Xenopus tropicalis: one gene and its partners. The protein of the gene in region 5 purifies or fractionates together with the protein of the main gene of each other region. This does not show direct contact. Links are inferred from orthologs where the notes say so. Each region holds a gene or a part of one and is shown on either strand. Other genes may lie near its edges.

Region 1 (5,888 bases), on a different chromosome or scaffold from region 5:
ATTGGTCTTATTTTGTTGATTTTAGTTTTTGAAATATTTCACTTTTTGTTCAGCAGCTCTCCAGTTTGGAGTTTCAGCAGCTATCCGGTTGCTATGGTCCAAATTACCTTGGTAACCAGGTAGTGGTTTAAATGAGACACTGGAATATGAATAGGAAAGGCCTGAATAGAAAAATAAGTATTAAAAAGTAACAATAACAATAAACTGTAGCCCCACAGAGCAATAGTGTTTTGACTGACCCCCCATTTGAAAGTTGGAAAAAGTCAGGAGAAGGCAAATAATTTATAAACGATCAAAAATATAAAGTAAAGACCAATTGAAAAGTTGCTTAGAATTGGCCATTCTATATCATACTAGTTAACTTAAAAGTGAACCACCCCTTGAAATTAGAGGCTGAAACAGCTTGTCTTATATTCAGCTTTTGGTCTTATATTAGTCATCAATAAATACCTTAATACCTGCCATACCAGGGGCATTTCTATGTTGTGTATTTAACATTAATGGCTTCCGGCTTGTGATGTGTTGTCTGTCTAATTAGCTAAAATGGTATTTCTCACTCTAATAGGAAGCTGCATTCTTGTTGGTTTATATGGTACCATTGAGTGGATTAAATGAAACTGTATGAGACCCATTAGTTTAACCAAGGCCTCTCCGGCTTACTTACTAAGGTAAATTGCACCTGTGCAGTTGACCGTAGCAACCAATCAGATCTTTGTTTTCATTTGTTAAACTGCTCAAAATGAATTACTGATTGGTTGCTATGGGACATTGCAATGGCTCAATATAGAACCCAAGAGCTCAGCTGCAGCGGGTTTATTGGGTATGCGAACGTACGCGGCGAGGAGCCAAAAGTCAATCGCCGGGGGAAAAAGTCTGGGCACCCCTGATGCAGAGAGTCATTTTTTGAGACAATTTGCAATTGGTGTGAGTTTTTTATTTGCAGTTTTTTAATTATTTCAGTTTTTGTTCAACAGCTATCCAGGTTGCTAGGGTCCAAATAACCTTAGCAACCAGGGAGTGGTTTGAATGAGACCCTGGTATATAAATAGGCGATGACTTGAATATAAAAATAAGTTATAAAAAGTTACGATAACAATAAAACTATAGCCTCACAGAGCAATAGCAGGGCCCCACAGCATTTTTAAAATGAAAATGCTGTGGGGCCCCGTAGCAACTGTTGCATAAGCCCTATGTTCTGCGTAAGGCATTTCTGTGTGCCGCCCCCTCTCTTGTGCTTTCAAGTTGTCCTTTATAAAAAAGTAGGTTAGGCTTTGTGCATAATTGTGCCTAGATGAAGCAGGGCATCGCTTTGGGTCTTTTTCATGTGTTGGGAGGGGCCGTGCTCTCTAATTGCTTGCTATACTAACGACATAATGATGCACACTGCGGCCTGATTGGAGGGCAGCCAGGAAGTGCTGTTAGTGAGAGGGCATATGCCCATGTGACTGGCGATTAAGGGCTGTGGCATTCAGTGATTGAGACCAGCACCTCTCAGCAATAGTGACTGTCAAACAGCAGGAAATAACGTCCAGGCAGGATAACAGTATCTTTGCTTTGCCCTTAATGGGAAGAAAATAAATGTAAATATATATTTATATACAGATACAAATAAAACCTGTTCTCTTTGTTTCATATTTTGGCAAAGTTATTGAAGCTGGCTTTTATTTCTTCCAGATGTGGAAATCTGCCGCTGGACACTCTCTCTCCATCTCCACAGATGAGACCGACGACTGGGAGACAGATCCAGATTTTGTGGTAAGTAGAAAGGCCTCGAAGTATCTATTCTTTTATTGGGCAGCATGTTGGGCGGTCATCTGTGCAACGGCATCAGGGCTCCGACTTGCCCGAGGTTGTCCTTTTGTGCTGAAGGATTGGCTCTTGGCACCAAACCCTACTTCACACGTGTATAAAACAAACAGAAATGAATGATTAACCCACTGTAAGGGTGAAGACACACAGAGCTACTAGTAGCAGCTACTTGTCACGGCTAAAATAGACAATGCTGATCATTTATTAATAATTGTCTCTACATGTGTTTTAGTAGAGGCAGTTCCCAGCATTGTCTATGGCAGGTTATATGGCAGCCGTGACAAGTAGCTGCTACTAAGTAGCTCCATGTGTGTTCACCCTTAAGGTGGCCATACACGAGCAGATCCGCTCGCTTGGCGATGTCGCCAAGCGAGCGGATCTTCCCCCGATATCCCCACCTACGGGTGGGCGATATTGGGGAGCATTTAGGTAAAAAAAAAAATAATCCGATCTTTTGGCCCTGGGGCCAAACGATCGGATTATGTGGGCGGCAATGGGGCAGTCGGATCGGGGACCGCATCAACGAGCCGATGCGGTCCCTGATCCGACCAGATTTTCTAACCTGGCCGATCGAGATCTGGCCAATTTCAGGCCAGATATCGGTCGGCCAGGCCGCTCTGCTCTCTCCATACACGGGCCGATTAGCTGCTGAATCGGTCCAAGGGACCGATATCGGCAGCTATAGTCGGCCCGTGTATGGGGACCTTTACACTTGTCAGCCTCCAGTGATAAAAGTTTAAATCAAAACATAAGAACACTGCTCATGCAAATTGTAGTTTTATTTATTATTTTAAAATTTATTTTAAATATCAACCTACACCTTCCTGGGACCACACCTAGGGGGCCTATCTACAAACCAATCAAATTTGCTTTTGTTCTCTAAAGGTGGCTATACACTAAGATTAGCTCGTTTGTTGTCGTTGCCAATTGAACAAAACCTGCCCTAGGGCCAAACGATCTAATTAAACTGGCGGGCATAGTCGCTGTCTGCTTGGGGACCACAGCAACGAGCCAATGCAGTCCTGATCCGACAGAAAAATCAAACCTGTCTGATCGAGATCTGCCTTATTTCAGGCCAGATGTTTGTTGGGAGGCCCATCAGCGTTGCCCATAAACAGGCAGATAAGCTGCCGAATCTGCAGTTAAAATCTGCCCCTGTATGGCCACCTTAACTTGTAGGTGAGCGTTCAAATCTATTTACTGATTGGTTGTTATGGGCAGCATCACTAGTGATTGTGTTGGCTATAGGATATAAGTGGTACATGTGGCTGTTAAAAGCATTATTGCAAGATGGCAACTAATATTTTTCTCTTTTTTTTTTGGACAGAATGATATAAATGAGAAAGAACAGAGATGGGGAGCAAAAACCGTGGAGGGGTCTGGACATCAAGAACACATTAAGTATGTACTATGTAACAATCTAATTTACTTATTGGACCACAGATATATATATATCTGTGTACATGTTGATGTAGGGGAATTGTGATTTTACAGACCTAGGGTTGCTGACTGTTATGGGGGATCGATATCTGTACCCTAGGGTGGGCGCACACATGCTGAGTTGGAAGATATTCCAACTCCAATTGGGCCGGAGCATTTTCTACTCCCAGAGAGACTTATGGCCCTCTAAAGTTGTCCATACATGGAAAGATCTGCTGGTTTGAGCGGATCTTTCCATGATATGAGTTAGGTGATCCCAAGGGCTGAACGATCAGATTACATTGACAGAATGCAGGCCGTAAGGACGAGGAATGTTGGCAGCTTTTATCGGCCTGTGTATGGCCAACTTAAGCCCACTGTTGGCCATTGGTCTTTCCAGTTTTCCATTTTTTTTTACTGCAGCATAAGTTAATTGGCCATATAGATTTCAGAGGAAAAAATGTCTACCCAAGTGGCTCAGACTCTCTCCCATATCATCAGTACTGAAGTAAACATTCTCAGACTGGCTACTTTTTAAGTGTCTTTACACGGTGCCATAATTTTGACACTGACCTGTGTGTGCCCTGTTCTTTTCAGTATCCATAAACTGCGGGAGAAGGTGTCCCATGAACATCAGGAAATTAAGGAAAAGGAGTTAGAGATTGGGCCCAAAGCCTCTCATGGCTACGGTGGGAAGTTTGGTGTGGAAAAGGATCGCATGGATAAGGTGCGTGATTGAAGAGCTGGGTGACTGCAATGTTATGGTTAAATTAGGGGTATCTCTACTTGCTGTCTTAATGCCTTTGTGCTTGTACACAGCTTCTTGTAAAAGAATTCTGACTTTATTGTCATTATTATTGACGTGTATTTATAAAATGTGTGGTCCCCCCTCAGTGAGTTTTACCCACTTAATTCAGTACTCCTATTTATTTGCGTTTAACATGGCTGCCTGCTGGCGGTCCTTTGGAGACCTGTATAAGTAGCTCTTAGTCCAGGCACTTGGAATGCCTGTCATTTATTAATCAGCCTAAAGCTACGGCCCTGGGAGTAACCTTATTTCCCAGTCCATGCAACGCCTCTCCTGTATAAGGAAACCTGGTCCTTATTTGCTAAGTGCAGGGCTGGGTGCAAAGTGCAACAAATGGGTGCAAATTGCTATGTTTTTTGCAGTTTGCACCCTGCTGTTTGCTTAGCACCCCAGACACAGGCTTGTTCTTTTCTCCCCTGTATACAGTAATGTATCCATACAGCTGGGCAGGAGGTAGTACATGGGCATTCCCTGGAACAACCTGTTTTATTCAGATGCAATAGGGCCTTGTAGAGACCTACGTAGCACTAACACTTCTGTATTCAACAAAATGTGCCAAGCGGAGGCTGCCCTTGCAACTGAGTCCTAGCCTATATTAATAACCTGAGCAAGACTCCAGGGCTGCCTAGTATTTATACACACGCATGCATAGGGCTACTTAATCCAATTAGGTCAGAGCAAAGTAGTTGGTACTTGAGGCCCTCGTTGCTCTTGGTTAGCTCTCGAGTACAGTAGCGGCTGTGTTATCTGTGCCGGGTTTTGTTGCTGTTACAGCAGGAGGTTGAAGAGACCAGCACATGCTATTGGTACCCAGCCAAGAAATGGTCAGTAAATGAGAAGGCCAGCGGAGGAGCTGCCAGCCGATCTGTGGCATAATGAGCCTCATGCGGTGCCAGTTTATCAGTCGGCACCATTCATCTCGCTTTGTGTGTGTGTGTGTGTGTAGGAAACAGGAAGCGCTGAGTGAAATCAACTCCCTTTCCAAGTCTGCTCTGGCAAATGAAACAGATTCCCGCTGACTGCCTCCTTATGTGACTGTCAGATGCACTGCCAAGTCCTATCGGCTTTGTATTTTATAGCACCAAGTTACTGACAGGTCTTTCTCATTATGCGTTTAAACGGGCGTTACACTTACACATCATCCCTTCAAAGAATGGCACAGTTTGTATAGTTCATATTGGCTTGCACAGTGGAAGGAAAAGTAAAGGTGAAATTACTGGACGATGCCAATTTGCCTGATACCCAGCCAATGTCCTTCTTTTAAAGATGCACTGACCCGGTATACTTTCTTCTAAACACCATCTTTCTATGCACCCCCCTGGGCGAGTGCATGTACCCCCTATTTATAATTAGGCAATGTACTTTTTTTTTTTTTTTGCTTTCATTGTATTTCTTCATATAGGGTTCTATAAAAACTAAGCATTTCCCCTCTCTGCCTAGATGGCTGTCGGCCATGAATATCAGACCAAGCTCTCCAAACACTGCTCGCAGCTGGATGCCACAAAGGGCTTTGGAGGAAAATTTGGGGTTCAGACAGACAGAGTGGATCAGGTAAGCGAATGCCAATATCTGTTTTCTTTTATTGGGTCAGAGTGGGTAGCATGTGTTGGTCCTGGTATCCAAAGGCCAATGGCATACCAGGCTGTAAGCCAATCCACTCCTTTCTGTAAGTTGCACTGATTAGCACAATGTTCGATGGTATGCACACACACACACGGAGCGGATTTGGCTTTAAACTACAACTCCCAGTACCCACTGTCAGAGTGGGAAACAAGTTTTATAACTATCAACCAATAAAAATGTATAAATTAACTGCTTGAGCAGCTGTAAGCGATATAAATGCAGCTGAATG
Region 2 (6,498 bases), on a different chromosome or scaffold from region 5:
TTTTTGTATTTCTGAATCCAAAATTCCAATTGATTTTTTTTTTTTTTAACAGTTTTAACAGGCCATACCCAACTTAAAATAGAGCTGTACAGATTTTCCTGCTCAGTAGCCACATATTAGCAGTCTGCATGTAGTCTACACAGTTTATTGCAGCTTTCCCTTTGCTGCTTGGCATAGCTAAAGATTCCCCATAACAAAACTACATGAATATTTTACAGTTGTAAATTTTTGAGAATATACTTTAATTGATTTTTGTTATATGAAGACTTAGACATAGGGTATTTTTGTCTATGTTTAGGTCTTCGCATAACAAATACCCACATGACCATTACTGATGAAAGTAATAATAAAAGCACCTTGTTGTTTTAAGCCTCAAGCTGGCCATACACTGGCTGGCCTCCAAGGTATTTGAACTATTGGTTCACAGACCAAACAGACTGTTAGCTATCCACAGTTCAAACAGCATTGTTCTGTTTTTCAAACCAATTGCCCAACCAAGCAAATTTAATAGGGCGTGAGGAGGAGTTGTGGTTCCTCTCTGAACCATCCATCTGCTGAAATGGTGCTTTGGCAGAAAAAAATTATAGGTGATGGTTTGCTGACCCAAGCCTGATGCATGGGGCCTGTCCTATGCACTGAGATGGTAACTCCTTCCAAATTATGCTGCACCACCTCTTAAATACTCTGTAAGCAGAGGCAATGCCCTAAAAACTATACACACGTATGGTGGATCATGCCTAACCTGGTAACCAATTATCAGAAGAGTCATTACCTGACATGACCCTGAGGAAGCTGTGTAGGAGGTGAAACACAAAAGAGGCTGGGGTAGATGTACTGTGAAGAGGTCTAGCCTCCAAAGCTCCCAAAGTTTAGTAGGCGGGTTACTGTCTGGGGATTCTACCAGGGGGCTGATGGAGGTATAAAACCAACAGACAGTGAAGTAAACTGTACTGATCCTCTTGTGGGGGTGCTGATCCCCTGAGGGACATTACACCATTCTTTTAATTTCTGTGTGTTGGGCTAAACAATATCTGCCAGAAAAAGCGAACTGTAAAAACTACAGATTTAAAAAAAAAAAAAAAAAATAAATCTTTATTTTGCATGTTATGCCTCTCTTCAGCCTGCCATTTACTGCCAGATTAGGGTTATTTCTAGCAACTAGATAACAAAAAACATCAAACTGAGGACTCAATTAGTTCAAATACAATACTAATGAGGCGCAGAACTAAAGCTGTAATTAAAATAAATTTTAAAAAAACGTAGAAAGGAAGACCAAATCTATCAGTATTTGCATAAAGCTGCATTTACAAATTTTAAGAGTGCCCCTCATCAACCGACAATGTGGTATCAAGGTATATTACTTTTATGTGAAAGCTTCTAATCACAGAGCAGTCACATGATGCTAAAAGGAAAGTGCAGGAAAGGGAACTAGTATAAAGAGAAATGACGGATGGGTGAAAGAGCAAGAGAAGGAGGTGCTTAACAGATGGAAAGAGTAATGAAGACAGACAGAAGCAATCCATAGTATCTTCTGTTTCCCTAAGAATAACATTGCACCTTTAATGAGTAAAACCCATCTATAAAAGAACTGTGGGATTGCAGCCAACAAATGTATTTGTGCTCCAAAGCACAAACCCCCACATGCCTCCCACTTGTATGTGTATGGATAAAGGCAGTTTGCTGTAGACCACTGTGTTCTGAATAAAATGTTTTACAAATTCCATATTAATGAATTTCCCTAATTCCCCACCTCCTTTCACTCCCTACAAAAGGCAGAGGAGACAGAAGGAAGTCTCCTCCAGGGCGAAATAATTTCTTTAAGTCACATAGCTTAAGAAGAATATATGAAGGGGGAGAGTGGAAGAGAAACAACAGAGGGAATTCATACAGCAGCTGCCCTCCTGTATCTGTATGTGCATCCTTCACCCAGACAGCACTGATATGGCCATTCATTTCTAACATAACATGGCATCTCCCCCTCCCAGCTAATCAATGTAAAGGACAAACCAGAAAAGGAAAACTGTACTATGAAACCAGTGCAAAGGGTTACCATCTCTTTTCTAACAGCACCAGAGGTAATATACTGGCCCCATGCCAGCTATATTTGAAGTTAACATGGGCTTTGATAGTGGAAGAAATGACACAGCGAGTATCCCTCACAGAGAGCAATGCAGTACAGTATGCAATTAAGAGGTGATAAGCAACAAAGCCATAAAACACACCCAAGTTAGACAGTGTTTATACAGACTTTTTAGAGTTATTTGTGGTTATTTATCAAACTTCTAACACACCCTACATGTAGAGCACCAGTACTGCCACACACCCTGCCAATTGCCATATATATGAAAGAGTAACAGCAGGTATACACTGGATAAGTAGTACTAATACAAGCATTAAAAGCCCATTCCAAAATGATCAATATGAAGCACCAAAAAAGCAAATGCCAAACCATCAGCAACATTAAACTAGCTTGGCCTTTTTTGCACAGGGCACTTTAAAAATGTGTGTCAGGTGGATGCAACCAACTAGTGATGTGGTTGCCCCTCGAGTTAGGGTTGAAATTTGGATAACCATTGCAGGTTCAGGTTGGGTGCTTGTCACACTGGGGAAGTACACTCTTCCTCTGCTCCCAAAGTTTCTCTGTCTTGAAACCTAAGGCGCACACAGGAGTTGTGTATAGCATGGAAAGACACTGGTACAGTTTGGGCATGGGTCCTACAATGGCAACATTTTGCGGGTTAGGATAAGGTGCGCTTTAAGGTTTCACAGGTTAGGGACGGTGCGGGTGGACATCGCTGAAACCTTCCCCACTGGCCATCCAAAATGAAAAGAATTTAGTGGGAATGTATAAACTGTCTAAAAAACATTCAGTATTGATAAACAAAAACGGAATGTTTAATATTCTCTACATCAAGCCATAATTATCCAAATAGTGCACAGATTTTTGTAAAAGAAATCTACTGTACTGCTTGCTCTGTGGCTACAAATGAAATATGCATGGACTCCAATAAAACACTACCTCTAGTGGGTAAAAAGCCATAAAAACCATACAACTAAATGTTAAAACATCAGTGAAAGACATGGGGTCTGCACTCTCCATTCAAGAAATAGCTTTCACACAGCATATTACTTACCCTTAACCAGCAATCATGGCAGAGCAGAGTCGGCCACACCATAAGGCACAGCCTTTCAGTGAGGAAACTGGATGGCAAACAAGGGTTAAAAGCAAGGAATGACAAATGCTCACAGCCATGATCAGTCAATAACCGGCTAATGGGCAATAAGGGTCATTTACGAGAAAGCCCTGTAATGTCATTCTCAACCCTTAGCTTCCTGCAACGTAGGCACTCTTACCAGCAAGGGATTTCTATAGTTCCATTATTGATCCCCCACCCCAAATTTACCCACTGGCACCTACTCACTCTTACCCTGCCCAATTAAGCGAACAGATGGGTTAATATTATACAGCCAGATTCACACAGATACCTTATAAGTGGCACTCTATTATTCCTACAGCGAGCCCTCCTGCTCCATTGCCATTCTTTATTCCCATCAGCCCAGCCCGGCCGCACTGCAGGCCCGTCACCGAATCACTTCTCCACAATGAATTCCAATTAACACATATCATGGGTCCTGCTGCACTTACACCAGACCATGCCACTGCTACGGAAACGGCAAAGGCTGGGCTTACTCACCAAGAATGGGCAAAAGGGCAACCTACAGCAATGTAATCGTGACTGCACTGCCACACGTGGATTCTGGGAGTTGTAGTGCAAAAACAGCTGGAGAGTCGCAGCTGCAGATCCAGGGTTAATTATACTGCGCTGGCACATGAAATCAAGTGATCACTCCATACCTGACTCAATGATCTCTTCTTGGTGCCCTCCTTTGGAGTGGCTCGTATATGCCGGGAGTGGGTCCTTGTCGTCTTTCTGACTGGGTTGAGGGAAGAGGCACTCACACTTCACCCTTCCCGCACTCAAAATGTACCACTCACACCAGCGCTACCTCGCAGCCGGAAGCGCAACTAGGGCCCCACCTCCCTCCCGCCGCTTCTGACTGACGTAGCTAGAAGCCAATGGGCGAGCGAACGGGCTGCACCCAGAGCCGAAACTATTTTACTATCACTCCGCTTGGTGAGTAGCCCAATAGGGAGGGAACGCAAAGTAGTTCCATACATGCTGAGGCGTATTAATATGTATTGTAGACCTAAATACTGCGGTGATTTTGTTTCGCGCATGTATCGTTAGCGAAATATTAAGAATGTATTTGATATGATTAAAATTAACAATAGCATTTGACGTTATTGAAGTTCTCAAGTGCTCCTATATGTGTACACAAAGTATGTACTTAGGTTCATTCCAATATGTGGTGCAATAATTGTTGGGAACCGCCCTTATACCCCAAGTGAGGTAATAAATACTGCAGGCATACTTCTATAGAAACAATATTATGAAAGGCACTAATTTTCACCCAAATACTCAACCTAGTTGGCCTTCACTCAGGCCTTTAAAGACTATGTGGGAAAATTAGTGCTCCTACTACCACCCTTATGGCCCTCAGGCTGGGCTTAGTAATTGCCACTGGCTCCATTTTACATACTGTGCCAGAATGAACCCTGCTTAAAATAATACATGATAAAAGATATTTTTCATTAATTTGGAGCCTTTGCTTGATCTTTTTTACATTGGTAAAAACAACATTCTATTGACTTTAGCAACAGTATCAGGTTGGCAAGCTACCATTATGAAGATAGAGCAGACACTTTTGCATCTTATTACCTACATTACCTTATCCATGGTAATTTCCCACATACATTATTTCTTTATGGCATACATTCTCTGAAGAATCTCCTTCACAAGAATTGTATGGGGAAAATACACTAGTGAATACACCAGTCTTTAATCTGGACAGGCTCCATGCATAGTTACATTCTTGGTATAAAATAGTTAACTTGCAGTTTTATTTTATATATTATTAGCCACACAATACTTAGTTAGCCTACAGATGACATAAACGCATAAACACAATGTATTATCTCGAATTGCATATTAGGACTACCCAACGCCACCAAAAAGTATTCAACCTATGGGCCCAAGCAAGTCCACCCCCTTTTAAGAGTGACATTTAATACTGACATAAGGGGTCAGCTCCAAAGGGGTTGTCCACTTTTGAGTTAACTTTTAGCATAATGTAGAGAGTAATATTTTGAGACAATTTGCAATTGGTCTTCATTTTTTTATTATTTGTAGTTTTTCAGTTATTTCCGTTTTTGTTCAGCAGCTCTCCAGCTTGGAGTTTCAGCAGCTATTTGGTTGCTAGAATCCAATTACCTTAGCAACCAGGGTGTGGTTTTAATAAAATACTGATATATGAATAGCAGAAGACCTGAATAGAAAAATAAGTAATGTAAAGTAAATGTAGATTCACAGAGCAATAGTTTTCTGGCTCAGGGGTCAGTGACCCCCATATGAAAGCTGCAAAGAGTTAGAAGAAGGCAAATAATTCAAAAACTATTAAAAACAAATTATTAGGACTAATTAAACAGTTGCTTAGAATTGGACTTTCTGTAACATACTGAAAGTTAAGTCAAAGGTGAATCACCCTTTAATTTCTGCAGAGTGTTATATGTAGCTTGGAACTGAAGGCATTTCACTATTATTAAACCAATTTCATACCTAAAAGAGGCGTTGTTGTAGGGGACTTACATTATTAGACTGTAAGCTCTAAGGGACGGGGACCTCCTTATTACTGTGTCTCATGGCATGTAATCTGTGTATTTTTACGTATTCGTTGTTTTTATTATATTAATACAATACTATATTTGTGTGTATTGTAGGATTATACAGTGTTGTGTATGTTTGTAGCCCTTTATAAAGTAAAGGTTCCCATACACCTTCAGATCCGCTCACTTGGCAATGTCGCCAAGCGAGCGGATCTTCTCCTGATATCCCCCACCTTCGGGTGGGCAATATCGTGAGAATCCAGGCTAATTCGATCATTTGGCCCTGTTTGTTCCATTTGACATAAGTTTAAGCACTCAGTTATTCAGTATTCTTGGAAATTCTAACAAGCTGCCGTGTTCAGGGAATTAGAAAAAGGACCAAGAGGATGTTATAAAGCAGGCTGGACAGCTTAAGCTCAGGAAGAGCATGCATAAAAACAGCCAAAACATAGGCCAGGGCAGATAGATGGAAAAGACAGTATCAATAGCAAATTTCAAGAGAGAGAGAGAGCTAATACATCAGAGTAGACTAACCAGGGACACTATAAATGACCTATTAACACGGAAGGGGTCAGCAAACTTGCAATGTGAGGTTACACAATTTCCTGCATCAATATGCAAGCCTTTGTGTATTGCTAAGAAAGTACAACAAGGAAGGACGTCCACTGTAGTGTACTTCCCTTATGCTTGTGTGGTGGCAGTCCCTCTTTAACCACTACATTTAAAGGAACAAAAATATATTTATGCCTAAACTATATAAAAGGAGTATTTTT
Region 3 (6,453 bases), on a different chromosome or scaffold from region 5:
ACAGTTGCAAAGTTGCTAGTAATAGGGCACTCACTACTTTAAAGGGGGCATTTACTAAGGCACAATTTTTTCTAGTCATGCTTTTTGTCTCGAAAACTCGAAAAATTTTGTTGCAGAAAAAAACACAAATTTGTCATGATTTATAATGTGACTCTAAAATACATCAGCTAGAACCTATTTAGATCATGCAGAAGTCAATGGCAGATGTCCCTTTAACAATTTCTTTCTTACAAAAGTTCTTTTTTTTGCTTCATGGTTTTAGAGGTTTTCTGTTTTTTTTATGCTGGCTTTTGTGGAACAATACGAAAAAGTGGAGTTTTTCGTGTGACAAGTTATCACCAAATATTGGCTATTACCCATAAATACTATCATCCGAGAGGTTTACTCCTATGTACTACTTGGCTAAGTGATGATATATCACGGCTGGTGGACTCACGAGGACACAAGAGACCACCAAAAACGTTAAATGCTAAATTAGAGTCACACTACAGGTAAGTATAATAAAGGCATACTTTATTTGAACTAAACCATAGCCATTAAATAGACAAGACACATTAAAATCATATAAAACACCCTATTGTACCCACACTTTCCACCATATGCCCCCTAGTTTATTTAAATTATGTCAGTAATAAATCAATAAAGGTAATCACAGTATTTCAGCTATGTCCCCCAAACTTCAGGTGCTTGTCATAACAATACCTGAGTTATAACCACACCGCCATGACTGGAGCTGTGAGTGTAACGATGGTCTACGGTGGTCTACTGGGAAAGTCGCTATCATCATCTTCTAGACGTGTGTGCATCCGTCGTTCGTCTCCCTTTTGATGTGCGTGCACATCCGTTTATGAGCATGCGTGCGCGCACTGTTCTCTTCGTTGCGACGATTATGTCATTTTGCCGTGTAAATATTTAAAGCGTTCTCTGCCTCTGTTCATTGTCGAACGTAGGTTTCTTCTTGTGAGTTCCTGGGTGTGTTATTAGTGTTTTGCCGTGTATTGACTCTTACCTGTTCCTGACCATTCTTGTTTGCTGCCTGAACCGACCTTTGCCCGTTTGACTATTCTCTTGGATTCTGATTCCGTACTGCGCTGCCTGACCGTTGATGACCCTGGCCTGTCCCAGACTACCCCCCATCTTCCTGCCACACGATTGGTTCCCTTGCCTGCTCAGAACTTTCTCCTTGGGTCTCTCACAATAAGTCCTGGCAGCATCCAAGTAGCGAAGGGCTCCTCCCGACGTGAAAGGCAGCTGTTATAAGCAGAAGCGTGAGCCGTGACCGGACCCTTGGCGCCTGTTCTGAGTTTTGGGATACCGATTGTGACAGTGAGGACACAGTAGCACAACTGATTTTGTTCAAGAAATTAGAGTCTATAATCCCACAATTTGTTAATCCTGCAGGCAAGTATCACAGCTGTGTCTTACATACTGTTTGATGTGGGCAACCCTTGTTTAATAGATACTAATACGAGACTTCTTTAAAGGGCTGATTTATCAATATTCGAGTTTATGCTTAACAATTCGAGAAAAAACACAGTGAAAAAATGCAAATGCAACTATACTCCAGAATATTGTTAAGAACCATGAATAGTCGGTATTTATTAAAGAAAAAAATCAAAAAGTAAATTTGCCAGAAAAAACTCAGCAAGTAAAAGCTAGCTAGAATCAATAGAAGTCAATGAGAAATGCTTTTTTATTAAATAAGCTAGCAATTGATAAGAAAAGTAGCACAAGTTTTGTCACAGTAATTTTTTTTATATTTTAACTGCTGTTTTTATTTCCACAAACTCAAATTTTGATAAATCTGGCCTTAAATGTCTGGACAATTAGGAGAGTATAAAGGGAGAATACTTGCTCCTATACACATTATCATGTCATGAAAAGCACCTGCAGTTTGGGTGGACATAGCTAAAATACTGTGAATACCTTTAAAGGAGACATATTGGATAAATTAAAAAAAACCCTAATTTTGTAGGTAATTATGAATAATATATGGTGCTGGTTTCCCATTCGACTAAAATTGAATACAGTCTGTAAAAATAGCCCCTTTATTGGAGCTCCTTATAGACCCTATCAGGTCCCTGTCTGTGTTTCAAATGAAGGCTGGGCGTGTTCACACATAGAGAAGATTATCAGTAAATGATCAGCATTGTCTGTTTTTGTAGTTGCGACAAGTAGCTCTGTCTCTTCACCCTTACAAATAATTATGGCGATTGTTAAGCTAATTAAAATACTAGCATAGATTAGAAAATGTATACACAAACGCTATACATATTATGTTATGAATCAGTAACATAACTGTTACCTAATTTGGCCTTCATTTCTTTTTAATAGTGTTCATCTGTGTATTACTGACTCTTCCAGATAAACTGTTACCTGTCATAACACAGATCTGTATTTGTGAGATTAATACTGGTAACTGTTAAATAAACTTGTCATAAACACAAACATCCCAGTTCCCACAAAACCTGTTTCCTTTTTTATTAAATTGGGAGAAGCGATCGTTGGCAATCAAGAAAAGGTATTTTTTAGTTCCCTGGCAAAGAGTTGGAACTCTGCGCTGAAAATATAAATAAAAAATTATGATATTGGGAGCTTATCGAGCATGGTGACAAACCAACACGAGAGACTTCTTTTCTATTATAAAGGTTAGAGGTCTGTACAGGGAAAAAAATTATGAAAACTACGATAACTTGAGATCATCTTAAGATTTTGTCACGCCTGCTCGTCACTCTCACAGGGCCCCTATGTGTTGCGTCACTGCGCATATGTGAAGTCATGACGCCAGTCTCGCGTGATGAGACTTGTGGCTTTGGGATTGTAAGGGAAAGAGCTTGCAGGCATTCTATCAATAACCCTCCCTTCCAAAGTCGGTAGGTTACTGACAGCAGGGGACCAGATAATCTAAACTAAGTAAGTGAAGCGTTGTCGGGCCCACTTAAAGACCCAAACCCACCGGGTCTGGGACGACTATCCCCACCATGACGGGCATGTTTATGTGTCTCCTGGCCTACCCATGTTAAGATATTATTAACAATTAACAGGATAAAAATGGGCGAAGTGGATTGTGCTAGTACGATTTCATTTGTTTGGTATAAGCATATTTTATTATTTTTTAGCCGCCTTCAGGCCTGTACTGTGGGGCTGCTGTAATACTTAAGACAGTCATTATTGGCTGGCCCTCCGTGTACCTGAATTGCCAGGCCATACTTTGCATCTCCGGACCTGGACACCTTGCCCCCTTGTTCTGTAATGAAGACAGCTGTTCTTATTCTTTATTTATCTTGGATGGAAAGTATAATGCTTTTGATGATGTTGAGGACTCAACTTGGGGTCTTATGGCCAGTATAATAGTGTTGTGTTTATTGAATTCTCTGAATTTTCATGCCTCTTTAATGATATGAATGTTAGTTAAGAAACATTCATATCAATGTTAGTTAAGAAAGTGTAAACCTTATTGTGCACATACTGTAGTGTATTTGTGTTAAATATGAGCAGTGCTGGCTGATTTGGTTACCTGTGGTAGACATCAGTAAATATCTGTTGTGCTTAAAATAGACATATTGGATAAATGGAAAAAGCCCTAATTTTGTAGACAGTTACGAATAATATATGGTGCTGGTTTCACTTTGGGCTAAACATTAAAGAAAAAGTAACAAGTAAAAAATCTATTCCACCCTGCTCCAATAATTGCCCTATCCTGCACACCATTTATTATTTTGAATGCTTTATTAGTATATACCTTCTAAAACTTTGCATCCAGTCATTTCAAATGCGGTGCTACGCCAATCTTCCCTCTGCACAATCCACTATGCGACAATCAACATCTCCTCCTTGCCGAGTCCAAAACCAGAAGTCTGTATGAAGTTTGCCTGTACAGAAGGAAGGCTAGGAGGAGATGTCAATCTTCGCATAGTCGATTGTGCAGAGGGAAGATCGCCGTATTTTCCTTTAATCCTGTCTGTAAAAGTGGTCCCTATATTGGAGCTTCCTATAGATCCTATCAGTTCTCCATCTGTATTTCAAATGAAGAAGTGAGCATGTCCTAATGCTCCCTGCCAGAAGCACAGCAGGAGGGGGATAGCCATTCACAGCCCTGCACTCACACAAGCAAAGACGGGCTTCAGTTCCCTACAGTGCAGTGTGCTGCTGGCTCCCCTGCACATCCAGAGAATTCAGCAAGCAGGAAGTGAAACAGATGGGCGGGACTACTGGGGTTATGGTGGAATTTCTCAATAAATCAGTCCGAAACACAACTTTTTTCAGCACAATCCTTCTTCTATATTCAGAGGAGTATAATGCACTGGTACATTAATAATTTTTATACGATATGTCTCCTTTAAAAGAGCATGAAGTTCTTTGGTAAAGGGTAGTAATTGTCTCTTTGCCCATTTTTCTGGTGATATTCTATATCTATTAAGGGCCCCATTATAACAGTCTTGCAGTTATCTATTCATATGGCTTTGTCAGTGTGTCCAGAGGCTTAACTAATTAATTTACAGTTAGCATTACCCAAGTTAAAAGCCATAATTTTTTTCCACTGGCTTTTGCCTTGGGGAACTATTGCCTTCATTCTATGGTTGGACCATGTTATAAATATGTGTACCAGATTTACCTGATCTGCTTTAGGTGTCATGGATCAGATGATAGTATAGTGTTAGTCCTGATTTTTTTGGTGTACTGTTTATTTTGAAATTTACACTGCTTACATAACAATTATCTATTAAAATCTATTAACTGATGCATTTTGAAAAATACATGTTTTTCCATGACAGTATTCCTTTAACAAGGATATGAGATTTTCCCATAAATGATTTATATCATGGAGGTAGGGAGATTTACACCTATCTCTGGTAAATATTCGCTCTCAACCAAATGGCACCACACTGCAAACCGCAATTTAGAGCTATAGTGGATAGTTTAGTGCTATAGTGGATAGTTGCCTTTAAACTGTAACAACATACGATAACCATAATAATCAATAAGTTTACTAAGCAGCTGAAAATTATACTACTAAATGTAGTATCCTGTTATTCATACTCAAATATTTCAACTAGAATTTGCAAGTTTTCTTTTACTGTGGCAGTCATTATCCTGGGTTTCATTTAACTGAAAACTATTGAAAAAATTAAAATGTAATACAGGTATGGGATCCCTTACCCGGAAAAACCCGTTATCCAGAAAGTTCCAAATTACGGAAAGACCATCTCCCATAGACTCCATTATAAGCAAATATAATTTTTAAACATTATTTCATTTTTCTCTGTAATAATAAAACAGTACTTTGTGGTTGATCCCAACTAAGATATAATTAATCCTTATCGAAGGCAAAACAAGCTTATTGGGTTTATTCAATATTTAAATTATTTTTAGCAGATTTAGTGAGATCCAAATTACAGAAAGATCTTTTATTCGGAAAACCCCAGGTCCGAGCATTCTGAATAATAGGTCCCATTCCTGTACAATGAAAAAGAAAACTTTCGAAATATAATAAATACTTTTTGAAATGATCAAGTTAAACTCTTCTTTTCCTGTCTTATTAAAAGTTGGAGTCAGAATTGGGAGTCGGAAATTGATTGACCGCTTTAATATACCATTAGTGTGTGCTTTCATGTCTAGGCAATGCATTACTGTTAAAGGAGACATATACCATAATTTTTCAGTTTATCTTAAATTGCAGCTAACACTCTAAAATTGAATAAAATAAAGTGTATTTTATACCTACTGTTGAAGAAGGCTGTGTAATCCCTGCACAAATGCTAAAGCCCCTCCCTTTCACAGGGCTTCCGGCTGGAAAATAGTCTGTCTGTAGCTGGGGCCGCCGGCCCTGGCTTCTTTCCTATACAGACGCTGCAGCCACTGAGAGAGGAGTGGGCGTGAGACGTGGGCGGCGCCTTTGATGACGTCATTTCCCCGCCCACGTCAGTCACGCTGGGGTCCTTCTCAGTGCTGCTCCCGGCCAGCCCTGCTTTCCTGACTAGCAGCTCAGTTGAAGGAAGATTCGCTGCTTCTGTGACATGCTGGAATGTAAGGCACCTTAATTCTCTTTCTTAAAAAAAAAAATTATTTACCAAATCAAAAAAAACGTTATTTACAATGAAGATTGTGTTTATTCATTAGACTGTACCTAATGATAAATGATGTGTGTTATTTGCTTGCAACTCCCTGCATCCATGTTAGGTTCCAATTATATATAGTTACAACTCCCTGCACCCAATCCTACAGTGTCCCTGCCCATCAGTATTACGTTCTGCAATCGCTATGAGAGTTTTTTTTTTACATGCAACTCCCTGCAACTTGTACTTTGACACCTAAACTGGCCGTTTTTTGGTATTTTCCCCTGCAACAACTCCCTGCAACTTGTACTTTGACACCTAAACTGGCCGTTTTTTGGTATTTTCCCCTGCAACAACTCCCTGCAACTTGTACTTTGACACCTAAACTGGCCGTTTT
Region 4 (6,451 bases), on a different chromosome or scaffold from region 5:
CATAATTTGTTTAGTGTCCCAACTTTTTTGGAATCCGGTTTGTAATAACCAGATTAAAAACTGCTCCACATGTTTTAATAGAGCCAAATCTAAATGCAAGTTTGACCTTATTTCCTTGAAGCAGCTTTTAAAGAATAGAGTGGTGGGGGGGGGGGGCGGGTTATAATGCATCAAGCTGCAAGATGATGATCACTGATTTAGAGAATTGTAAAAATATATATTTTTTAATTTACTATGGTGCTATGTGTTAACATGGGCAATTTAGCAACCAAACTTTTAAGTGTCTAGCTTGAAAGATAGCTGCCAGGGCAAATTTTTCTGTTACTACTATGTTATAGTTACTGGCTTTACACAGCTCACTTTTGAATAGAGCAAAGTTTATAATGCTAAAAAGTCACATACAAATATTTTTATTGAACCACAGAACTGTATATTTCTTAGGACTATGCACATTCATAGAGTTACAAATCATTTTCTAGCACTACAGATGTCTACAGGTATGGGATCTGTTATCAAGAAGTCTCCAAATTACAGAAAGGCCATCTCTTATAGAGCCCATTTTAATCAAATAATTTAAAATCTAATAATAAAAATACATAAATAATAAAATAATGCCTTATACTTAAAATGTAGTAAAATGACAGCATGATCATTTTCCTTACCTGATAGTCATCAACCACACTAAAGGTGTATTCATGTTTTGCAATCACATGGTGACAGTTTTTGCACATATCTATATTATAAAAAAAAAAGAAAAAAATCTGTATTATATTGCATACATACAGCCCGCACTCCGGTTGAGAAAAACGATAGTTAAAAAAAAAAAACAGCCCCTGGCCATGTTGTATAGTGCACATGCCAGTGGTGTCAATTATAGAGGAAGCAGACCCTGTGGTTCTGTGGGGCCCAGTGGCATAAATATAGAGGAAGCAAACCCTGCGGTTGTTGGGGCCAAGGTCCTCTTCCTCTATAGTTTTTCCTCCCTGCTCACAAGTAGTAGAGTGACTGGGGAGGGACGACCCATGCAGGCAGAAGATGCCAATAGGTGGCGGGAAGTGGCCCAGTGGGGGAATGGGTATGGATTGCTGTGCACAGGGTCCTTCTGAAATTTTTTTTGCAGGGGGGGTCTGGTGCACACTTGTTATGCTACTGCCGTCAACCACACCGGGAGCTCCCTCACAATGTGGGTGGCCTAGCATTGTTAGGGGCAATTTTTTGTTGTTGTTGAAAAAAACTACCGTTCCCCCCAACCAGTGCGGCTCTATTGGCACCTCTAGTGAGGGAAACAATTTGGGGGGGGTGAAAGGTGCCCTTTAAATGGCTTAAGCCATGGGGACCACAAATTGCAGTGAGCATGCAAACAGGACTTCAAAACACAAAAACAAAACGCATCACAAATAACTAAGCAAACAATTTTCTCGAGGTTGGCAGCCTTTAAGTGGATAAAAATGCTTACGATCATAAGTGATAATCTCTTCACCATCCTCTTCCTCTGCTGTTTTATTCACTATGAGAACAAAGTCTCTCTTATTGCACTGAACGCAACTCACATAGTTTAACAAGAATGAACCTGTCTCCAAGCATGTGCTGCCCTGAAAAAAAAATAAACTGAAATTAGACATACTGGCAATTGACAAATATAAACTGGTCACTGGAATGGCAATGCAGCTTTGCTAATTGCAATGCTAATAGGTTTGGAGGCAACCCAATATTTCACTACATAAAAAAATCTCACTGTCAGTGTGCCAAACTGCCATAAGGGCCACATTTAGGAAGGCTGAAGCAGACCCATTAATTACAAAAACTAGAAAATAACATTTGTAAAAGTACAGATTATATTAAATGTTAGATATGTGTAGTATTAATAAGGGGAATATCCAACTTATAACCCTGTTATCGAACTACAGTTCTCAGCATCCTATTTACGCACAAGGAATGATTAAAGAGCAGCAGTAACAGCGGGACCCTATACTTTTCTCCAGGGCATGCCTGACGGGGCTTAAAGGGGTGGCTCACCTTTGTTAACTTTTAGTATGTTATAGAAAGGCCAGTTCTAAGCAACTTTTCAATAAGTCTTCATTATTTTTTTTTATAGTTTTTTAACTATTTGCATTATTTTTCTTTGCAGCTTTCAAAAGGGGTCACTGACCCCTGCAGAAAAAAATCTATGCTCTGTGAAGCTACAGTTTAATTGTTATTTTAACTTTATATTAACTATCTTTCCAATCAGGTCCCCTTCTGATCAGTCTTTCATTCAAACCACACCCTAACTGCTAAGGTAGTTTGTATCCTAGCAACCAAGTAACTGCTGAGACTTAAAGTTGTAGAGCTCTTGAACAAAAACTGGAAAAACTACAAATAATAAAAAATCCCACCAGTGTTTTACATTCTTGCCAGTGGGATGGCATATCGGGGAGATTAGTCGCTCCCAGTAGTGAAGATTTATCACTAGCAACTAATCACCCTGTGTGCCACTGCCCCGTTGTATCTTTATCTTCCACACTCCAAAAAGCTACAAACAGGTTAACTGGTACATGATAGAATGTGAATGTGATAGGATGTAAGGGGCGTGTTTACTAACACTAGAACTAGATATCACCAGTAATGTTGCCAGTAGCAAGTAATTGGCTTGTTGCTGTTGTTTTCTAATTTGTAGGCGCTTGTTCAAATCTAATTGCTGATTGGTTGCTATGGGAATATTAACAATGATATTTATCTCCAATGCCAGTAAACACACCCATTAGATTTAAGGTGGCCACACACGTGGCGATTTGCGATCTTTCGTGCGACTATCGGTAGCACGAAAGATCGTACAAATAGCCACAAACTGTTCAGGGCTGAAATGGCAGATAAGGAGGTAGAAACAATAGAATTTCTACCTCCTTCTGCGATTCAGCGTTGAAGGCAGATTTTGGTCAGGCGCCCGATCAAAATCTTTGAACTGGCCCGATCGGCGAGTCGACCGATATCAGCAGCCTCCTGCGATATCGGTCGACTCGCCATACACGTACCGAATATCGTACGAAACCTTGTATTATTGGTGCGTGTATGGCCAGCTTCAGTCACGTGTGACAGATCTCTGCTACCGCAGGTGACTAATCTCTCCAAAATGTATTACTTTGGCTTTCCGGAGTGAGGTAAAGTTACCTGCAGGAGTAGACTTTGCACGACTTTAGAAAAACCGGAGCGACGCATAGGCTTTTCCACCAGTGATAGGCATTTTAGAGAGATTAGTCAGCCGTGGTAGTAGAGATCTATCATGGGCAACTTAGGGCGAAGACACATGGGGTGATTAGTCGCCGCGACTTTTAAGTAAGCCAGTTGCGGTGACTTTTTGCCCATAATGGGCGTCGCCGCAACTAATCGCTCGCATATTTTCACTGCACAGATTAGACTTTTTAAAAAGTCACTCAGCCCTTGTGTCTTCACCCTAAATCTCTCTGTGGCACATCAGCCTTACACTGTAAGCTCCACTGGGGCAAGAACTGATTTGAACAACATATCATTTGCGCTTCAGAAAGGCATACATGCTTTATAAATAATCTCCAGACCTCCGGGGCCAACAAGGAAGCCCCTACTATACAGCTGATTTTGGTTATTCTGCCAGATATTGATATCAAAGCCATATTAGTGTTAAGCTTGCACATGGACCACTACAGTATAACGAGTGCGTTAGTTTATTATAACACACACTAAAACTGCTCCATGGGTGGAACTAATTTATGACCGTCTCACTCCAGTCCAGTCTACCATGATGTAACGAGAAGTCCGATTGGTCAGGAAATGGTGTGACGTAATAAACAGCGCCACCTAGGATTGACTGTCGCGGTAGCTCCCATGACTCTCGGAAAGCCTGAGCTCTCAGTTACCTTTACTCGCTATAGCTATACAGGCTCCGTGCAGCCAGGGGCCACTCACCCGATCCGGGTACTCCTCCTGCACACAGCCTCCGCACATGTCGCTGTCTTAGCTGGGGAGTCAGAACAAATCCCCGCTCGCAGGAAAAAGTAGAAGCACCGTTCTGTGCGCTGCGCTTTCCGGAAACGAAGCATCGCGATGCCAGGAAGTGGTCTCGCTTACAGCGCTTAGGGCTAAAATGTGTCTGTAGTAATAGTTACTGTAATAAGCAACTACTACTGCAGCTGGACAAGCGATGTAGCCAGATAATAAACCTGGTAATGGCACAAGGCACTGCGGCCTAAATAAATACAGGTATCGGACCCCTTATCAGGAAACCCGTTATCCAGAAAGCTCCGAATTACGGAAAGTCTGTCTCCCATAGACTCAATTTTAATCAAATAATTCAGAATTTTAAAACTGATTTCCTTTTTCTATGTAGAAATAAAACAGTACCTTGTAATTGATCCCAACTAAGATATAAATGATCCTTATTGGATGCAAAACAAGCCTATTGGGTTTAATTAATGTTTAATTGATTTTTTAGTGGACTTAAGGTATGGAGATCCAAATTACAGAAAGACCCCTTATCCGGAATACCCTTGGTCCCGAGCATTCTGGATAATGGGTCCTATACCTGTATTGTTTTTGTAATAGTTATAGAAGAGGCATAGCTAGTGTGAGGTTACCAGATCACTTCAAAATGTTGCACATTGCTGGGCAGCACTGATTGTATTTATATCAAATTGCAATCAGTTTATCCCCTCTAGCTGGATTTTCAAGTAATTTGGTAACATTAAGCTAGTGACATGGTTACCCTGCCAAAATAACTTGTCCATAGTTACTATATGTTGCACCAGTAGCGAGACAGTCATTACTAAATATTATTTACTTGCCTTTATTCTACACTAGCTTTGAAAATCACTCATATTCCTGGCTAATGGCACTTATTAGGCACTTGCTTGTGTCTGGAAAAACACCATTACAGCCTGAATCCACCCTGTGTCTCTCAGCAGTGTTTGTAATGTCATCTGCCTGGCATTGCACACGCAGGGTACAGTACAGTATGTGCCAGAAAACGCTCAGTGCACATTGACATTGCTGTCACTGCTGACAAACACATACAGATTGAGAAAATCATGTGCCATTATTAACCTCACGTGGCTCGTGAGCAATATGTTGCTCTCCAGTCCCTTGGATGTTGCTCCCAGTGGCCTTAAAGCAAGTGCTCATTTTTGAATTCTTGGCTTGAAGGCAAGGTTTGGTTGCATGAAAACCAGATGTACTGCCAAACAGGGCCTCCTATAGGCTGCCTTATTTGGCACCCCCAGGAACATGTTTTATGCTTGAGTTGCTCTCTAAATCTTTTTACATCTGAATGTGGATAATGGGTAAAAAAGGTTGGGGACTCCTTCCCTAAACAAACCTGTTTACATTGGAGGATTATACTCCCACCTCTGCCTGTTTCTTTATGCTAATTTGTGTGTGTGTTTTCAATTCTTTTCAGTGGCATGGGTTAACTGTAATTGAAGTGCAAATTACAGGGAGTGGCTTGGGTGGGGGCAAACTAGGGTAATGTCTGAAGAATCCCTGTGAATTTATGTGTCTGAAATCTGTGTATATCCCCTTACTCCATTGGCAAACAGCAGGCAAAATTCAATACAAATTTTAACTTGTGGAAGTATGATTTTTTTTTCAGCAGCAGTAATGGACACTATTATTTTACACCACCTCAGAGCATGGGTAACCCGTTAAAGTTAATGGCACTGAGGCACACTTCTCACAGGTTTATAAGATGGTTTTACACTCCACAGTGCATGACATAATAATATATAACTATTTCAGATAAGCAATTGCACAGGTTGAGTAGAACAGGCTTATGTAATATTAGGCAACATGTGCCTCTGCCTTGCAAGCATTCAGTAGAGGTTTCCTCATATGACACTATTAATGCTTATACAGTGGCTTGCAAAAGTATTCGGCCCCCTTACAGCCACAAACATGAATCAATTTTATTGGAATTCCACGTGAAAGACCAATACAAATTGGTGTACACATGAGAAGTGGAACGAAAATCATACATGATTCCAAACATTTTTTACAAATAAATAACTGCAAAGTGGGGTGTGCGTAATTATTCAGCCCCCTTTGGTCTGAGTGCAGTCAGTTGCCCATAGACATTGCCTGATGAGTGCTAATGACTAAATAGAGTGCACCTGTGTGTAATCTAATGTCAGTACAAATACAGCTGCTCTGTGACGGCCTCAGAGGTTGTCTAAGGGCTCTGGCACACGGGGAGATTAGTCCCCCGCGACAAATCTCCCTTGTCACGGGCGACTAATCTCCCCGAACTACCATCCCACCGGCAAAAATGTAAGTCGCCGGTGGGATGGCACACGCTGTGCAGGCCAAACGATCGGATTATTTTTTTTTTAAGTTTTCTGCTACCCGATATCGCCCACCCATAGGTATATGGGCACCTTTAAGGTCCCCATACACGGGCCGATTACAGCTGCTTATCGGCCCGTGTAGGGGCAGAACCGAGGGGCCTGGC
Region 5 (5,888 bases):
AAGTGCAGCGACACAAAACCTAGGGGACTGACGAGCGGAGACGCCGTCTGGTGCTGGCCCGGCCCGTCTGTCAAATTTTAAAAGTCAATGTGGCCCCTGAGCCTAAAAGTTTGCCCACCCCTGCTGTAGAATAAATCACCATTTTTTGCATGTCATGTTGCAATTTGGTCTAAAAATGCATGGTAGCCAATTCTGAATACACGTGTCTGGCTACTGACCATATAAGCCATAAGTTCTGCCATATGCAGCAGCATGTAGACATATCAGCCTTTATTCATGTGAGTTGTGTGTGTAGCATGAGGAATGTACAGTATATACCGTCTATTCCCAGAAGGCTCATTATTGCTGATAGATCAGAGAAAGGCATTTGCTTAGCATAGGAAGCCTGTTTTCTACTGCAGTGATTCTCAGGCTCCGACGTGTTGTATAGAGAGTACAGGAATAGGCAGGCACATAGCAAGAACTAGAAGGTATGTATGCCAGCTAGGTACAAAGCTCCTGCTTTAACCCACCTATTGTTGAATTGAATACATATGCTCTAAAGGTGAAAGCTGGTTCTATGTGAGATGTGACAAGCAGAATACTGCACATATCTACAGGACCATCAATGTGCAGGGACACATTGGAATTCTTATATGCAGTTTGCCAATTTCAACATTATCTGACATGTATCATCCTAGCGGAGCACGGCACCTCTCGCCCTGCGCCCAAGGGAGCGCGGCACCTCTCGCCCTGCGCCCAAGGGAGCGCGGCACCTCTCGCCCTGCGCCCAAGGGAGCGCGGCACCTCTCGCCCTGCGCCCAAGGGAGCGCGGCACCTCTCGCCCTGCGCCCAAGGGAGCGCGGCACCTCTCGCCCTGCGCCCAAGGGAGCGCGGCACCTCTCGCCCTGCGCCCAAGGGAGCGCGGCACCTCTCGCCCTGCGCCCAAGGGAGCGCGGCACCTCTCGCCCTGCGCCCAAGGGAGCGCGGCACCTCTCGCCCTGCGCCCAAGGGAGCGCGGCACCTCTCGCCCTGCGCCCAAGGGAGCACAGCATCTTCCCCTTAGGATAAAGAAACACAATAGTTCCCTAAAATAAACAATACTCTGGGCTGGGTGCATAATAAGCTACAGTATCATGCTCACTTGGTGTATATAAAGGAATTCCATGTTACCATAATGTCCAGATTAATTATGTGTATTTGCTATTGAATGCCTAATAAGTTCATTGCGTTTGAGGTTACTCATCAATGTTGACAAACTGAATATTTTAAAAATCCTATTTGCTTTCCTAATCTGCCTCTTTCCAAACTGCCAGGGTCACTGACCCTAGTAATCAATTCACAGACTGACTGGAGTTTAAATGCCTAGATTATTTTTGTTACTCCTTATGATTATATGCTGCCCCTCTACTATTTATCTTCCATTCTGACTTCTAAGCGGTTGCTCAGTTCCTAGGATAATATAGACCTTTATAACAGACAGCAGCCTGTACATTTATAGTTAAACATCCGGACCCAGGTCTTGTGTCAGATTGGATTCAGTGGTGGCACTCAGCGAATGGTTCCAGCCATTTGCAAGTGAATAACAGTGGGCGTGCAGCGATACAGAAGGTAGCACAACACACACATACTAAAAGCCCTCAGTGCGTTAGAGAGCAGTGCAACGAAACAAATCCTAGCAAGCTATCACCATACAATCAATGAATTATCCCCAAAAAACAAGCATTTATAAATAAAATCGCTCTCCCCAGCAACTGTCGCTTTGTGGAAAGGATAGACGTTAGCAGAGACGTGGGTTAGATAACCATTATATGTCATTTATTTTGTCTTGGGAACATTCCTCTTGGAAGAATCGCACTTGGCACTGTCTTACAGCAACAGCAAATTTATTCACTGCGCTTCTATAGAAACGAGCGCACAAAGGAAAACAATAAAACAAAAGAAATTCATAGATAGATAGGAATTCTCTAGATTTTGTTGGAATAATCACAAACACATTTGTAACTTTTTAACTGTTCTGATAATTTCTTGTCAATGAGCTTGTTCCCAGTGGAATGGGTCACCTGATCAAGTGCTTCATTAAAAGGCAAAAAGAAAAAAAGTCCAGCAATTCCCATGTTACATGGTGCTGTTTGCAGGGCTGGATGAGGCCCACAGCAAAGAAGGGGGGATAAAACCATTTAAATCAGGGCACCTCTGGCTGCTGAAGAACTACATCCCCACAAAACCCTGGCAGCCTTTAGCAGTTGGGTAAGTTCAACAGCAGCTGGAGGGCCACTGAGTTACTATATGTAAGTGATGCCTAACAATGATTATCACACAATATGGGCAAAGGACCTCCTTCACACTAATGCTGCGCCCTAACAACAGACATGACTGTGTAGAAGTGTACCTTCTAAGAATGAAACATGGAAACAAAAAAAATTAAAACAAAAATTTAGATTTTATAACTAAAGTGACAGAAAGCAGCAGAGGGATTTGTAAATTGTTGTACAAAATAAATCACAATTACCGATAACTGCTTAAAAAAAAAATCTAGATTTTTTTTTGTGTACGAGAAGGCTAATGTGGAAAAAAAGGAAAAAAAAAAAGGGTCCATCCCAAGGATATGGTATTAAAAGCTGCTTTTAAAGGATTCTCTTATAGAAACAAAAGGCAAACCACCCGGTGAGTAGAAGATAAAGCTAGCAGCCTTAGAGCAGTACACTAGATGGAAAAGCCTACTGTGATTGGCCAAATGTCTAACGAGAACGGACAATGTGGAGCAGTTAGGCTCTGTGGTTAGAGCTTTGTGTTTGTAAAGACACGGCATATTAAATAGTCAAACCGAGGTACATTAACAAACATGGAACAAAGCTCTCCTCAGGAAACAGGGCAAAAAAAACTCCCATCTTTAGGTCAAAAGGACACAGACAGGCCTTTCCAAGAAAGTCATGGAACTGAATGAGTTCAGAGATTGGCAATAAAGGAAACAAGGAAAGCTTTAGAGAAGCGATGGGAAATGGCAGTTGTGTTTATCGTACAGTCACACCAAGTTTCTCCAGAACACGCGTGCCTTTCTCTTGGTACTCTTGGCGCGTCATCCAGAAGTTGTCTTTGTCTTTCATGATGTCAGCTAATACTGCTCCACCCAAGAACACCATGTGCTTGCGGCGGGGAGGATCTTCAATGCGGATCTTAAATTTCTGGAATAAGGAGAAGAAAAAAAGATGAAGAAAAAACATGATATGCACTGAAACACAACCTAATTTTTGAGCATATAACTCTACACAAGTCAAAGTGGCATACATTCTGATGTTACTACAGTGTAATGGATTGGCTCAATCTAACAGCACCTGATTCATTCTGGTATCACAGTTTTGGGAGCTGTTCATAAGGCCAGTTAGTATGAGATTTGTGGCAAATGCCTAAATGTGGCCCAGGATACCCCTGAAGACAGCACTCAAAACTTAGTATTCACCCCCATAGCTCACTCTATACTAAGTATGCTAAATTTATCATACATTGATGTTTGCATCTGTGACCTTACAAGGAGCTATAGAGGGCCTTGGCCAAATGTTGGACCTTAAACATGAAGGCTTAATTGCTAACTAAATTGCTACATGCTCAGTCTCAATGCAATTTCATGTAAGACCTAGGGTGACTGCTTATTTGCTGTCCTTGATAAGTATGGGACAACAGAATGAGTGTTATTACTATTTTTTTCTATTGATCTGTAAGCCTAGGAGACCCTCATCAAATGTTGGTCAACTGAGGGGGTATAAACAAAATTTATGTTGTATCACCTATTGTTAAAATCATATGTTTCTCAAAATGGATGATATAAAGCTCTGTCAGCAGAGCATGGATGGGGAACACATACACTGGATTTCAGCCTACTGCCAAGCTCCCAGAGGCACCCACACTCCATATACTGAGCCGCCACAATGTACGGAACAATTACCAACAGGCAATGCAGTTTGTGGGTTGGATTTCTATCTAGAACACACATTTGGCTTTGAAATATGTTGTATGGCAATTCAGGATGCTGTGTTGATTTGGGAACAATCAGTACCAGGTTAAGATGAAGTTATAATTTGCTAAGCAAAACAAGCAACTTTAAGCCTACGTGCCACAGGTTGTAATGTGCAGCACAACACTCAGACTGTAAAACAGAAAGAAAGCACACCGCTTTTAACAAAATAATTTATTTTTTAAAGAAAACAAGAATTGAAAGCCTTACCGATAATTTTTCAACATCTCCTTTCAGGACTCGCTCCAGATAGAGCTGTTTCAGTTCTCGCTCTAAACGGGAGGGCAATCCTGGATACATTGTGGAGCCCCCTGACAGCACAATGTGCTTATAGAACTCTGGCCTGGAAACAAACAAAGGGACAGATGTCAGCATTTACTATGTACTGCAGAGGAGTGCAGGAGCAGAATAAAAACAATAATTCCATCCATAACAAACATCTATAGAAACATGCTGGGAGGTGAAAGATTTAACAGGTATGTGTTTTTAAATTCAATTGTCTTTAACAATTTTATCTTCTTTAACGTTGTTTGCCTTTTTTTGTTTTACCCGTTTCCATATTTAGTTCAAACACAGACACAGGAAGTTGCTCGTGCTGTTATTAGCGTCCGAGGAAAGCTGGGACATGAAACAGTATTCATACTGTAACAGCTCAAATTACATACCATATAAACAAAGGACGCCGTTTCTTTCTAAATGAGGCTGAATGGCCTGTATAATCTCATAGCATTTCACAGCTCTAGGTCAGAGACCCAAAATACAAGGTGGCACACCACTGAATGGGCTGTATTTGTCTGCATATACTACTCCACAGTATTCAAGGATTGGAACATTTGTTAACTACAGCTAATATCAAAAGGTGCTCATTAACGTCTCATTGTGCTGAACAGGAAGTTGTCTCTCACCTCCGAAAAGGGAAGATATTACTAGAACTAAGATGGTCAATTCCTTTATATTCCTGTATATAAACTCTGCCAATAATGCTTTCCATGCTGCTTCAACTACTACTTCAAGTGGATATACTGCTCCCTTAAAATTCATAAATTTAAGCGCACTTCATTTCTTTAATATTTGCTTGGCCCTCCCATTCATTAGAATACATGAAAATAAAAGTGGCAGCAATTACCTTGCTATACCTAATGCATAACATAGGTGCCCTTGAGGTTGGGACTCCCTAGGGGAGCAGTCCAAAAATTTGGGAACCTCTCAGCTGAAGGATACTGAGAACTTCCAAATGTCGTTATCACTTTAAAGGGGAAATAAGGCAACATCATGTTTCCTATGAGGCAAATGACCAAAAAAACTAAATGTAGTGTATATTGCTATTTACAACCGGTAACTAGGTTCTTCACCACTAATGCCTGGCATACACTGACGGATATATTGCACAGTATTTTTTATTCTGTATAAAGGAAGTAATTGCTTAAATGAAAACCTGAAGCAATTGTTTAAAGGAACAGTAACATCAAAAAATTAAAGCGTATAAAAATAATTACAATATTATGTACTGTTGCCCTGTGCTGGTACAGCTGGTGCGTTTGCCTCAGAAAGACTACTATAGTTTATATAAGTTAGCTGCTGTCTAGCCATGGGGGCAGCCATTCAAAGGAGAAAAGGCACAGGCACTTAGCAGATAACAGATAAAGCCTCATTATATTCTACAGAGCTTATCTGTTATCTGCTATGTAACCTGTGCCTTTTCTCCTTTTTTTCAGGTTGAATGGCTGCCCCCATGGCTACACAGCAGCTTATTTATTAGTTATAGTACTGTTACTCTAGCAAATACACAACTTTACCTGTGCAGGGTAACAGTACATTTTAAATACTTTTATACACTTTCATTTTTGGCGTTACTGTTCCTTTAATGGACACACTTAAAGGAACAATAACACCAAAA

Evidence for each region.
Region 1: the proteins of actr2 (region 5) and cttn purify together in Homo sapiens (affinity purification with mass spectrometry; 3 studies listed by BioGRID and IntAct, with this or other methods). This does not show direct contact. The link is inferred for Xenopus tropicalis from reciprocal best matches to the Homo sapiens genes ACTR2 and CTTN.
Region 2: the proteins of actr2 (region 5) and coro1c fractionate together in Homo sapiens (co-fractionation; 3 studies listed by BioGRID and IntAct, with this or other methods). This does not show direct contact. The link is inferred for Xenopus tropicalis from reciprocal best matches to the Homo sapiens genes ACTR2 and CORO1C.
Region 3: the proteins of actr2 (region 5) and arpc1a purify together in Homo sapiens (affinity purification with mass spectrometry; 9 studies listed by BioGRID and IntAct, counting the BioPlex papers as one, with this or other methods). This does not show direct contact. The link is inferred for Xenopus tropicalis from reciprocal best matches to the Homo sapiens genes ACTR2 and ARPC1A.
Region 4: the proteins of actr2 (region 5) and churc1 purify together in Homo sapiens (affinity purification with mass spectrometry; 4 studies listed by BioGRID and IntAct, with this or other methods). This does not show direct contact. The link is inferred for Xenopus tropicalis from reciprocal best matches to the Homo sapiens genes ACTR2 and CHURC1.

The regions. Positions count from the first base shown.
Region 1 is NC_030680.2:14,570,151-14,576,038, forward strand, and holds part of cttn (src substrate cortactin), read left to right. Parts: intron 1-1,674; coding exon 1,675-1,755; intron 1,756-3,136; coding exon 3,137-3,210; intron 3,211-3,825; coding exon 3,826-3,955; intron 3,956-5,476; coding exon 5,477-5,587; intron 5,588-5,888.
Region 2 is NC_030677.2:146,436,122-146,442,619, forward strand, and holds the start of coro1c (coronin-1C), read right to left. Parts: upstream 3,987-6,498; 5' UTR 3,857-3,986; intron 3,719-3,856; exon of another isoform or gene 3,487-3,718; intron 1-3,486. UniProt on the Homo sapiens protein: Plays a role in directed cell migration by regulating the activation and subcellular location of RAC1. Increases the presence of activated RAC1 at the leading edge of migrating cells.
Region 3 is NC_030685.2:41,696,987-41,703,439, forward strand, and holds the start of arpc1a (actin-related protein 2/3 complex subunit 1A), read left to right. Parts: upstream 1-2,811; 5' UTR 2,812-2,913; intron 2,914-5,781; exon of another isoform or gene 5,782-6,027; intron 6,028-6,453. UniProt on the Homo sapiens protein: Probably functions as a component of the Arp2/3 complex which is involved in regulation of actin polymerization and together with an activating nucleation-promoting factor (NPF) mediates the formation of branched actin networks.
Region 4 is NC_030684.2:107,706,675-107,713,125, reverse strand, and holds the start of churc1 (protein Churchill), read right to left. Parts: upstream 4,039-6,451; 5' UTR 3,958-4,038; coding exon 3,919-3,957; intron 1,593-3,918; coding exon 1,457-1,592; intron 734-1,456; coding exon 663-733; intron 1-662. UniProt on the Homo sapiens protein: Transcriptional activator that mediates FGF signaling during neural development. Plays a role in the regulation of cell movement.
Region 5 is NC_030681.2:31,958,614-31,964,501, forward strand, and holds the end of actr2 (actin-related protein 2), read right to left. Parts: intron 4,335-5,888; coding exon 4,202-4,334; intron 3,165-4,201; coding exon 2,994-3,164; 3' UTR 1,776-2,993; downstream 1-1,775. UniProt on the Homo sapiens protein: ATP-binding component of the Arp2/3 complex, a multiprotein complex that mediates actin polymerization upon stimulation by nucleation-promoting factor (NPF).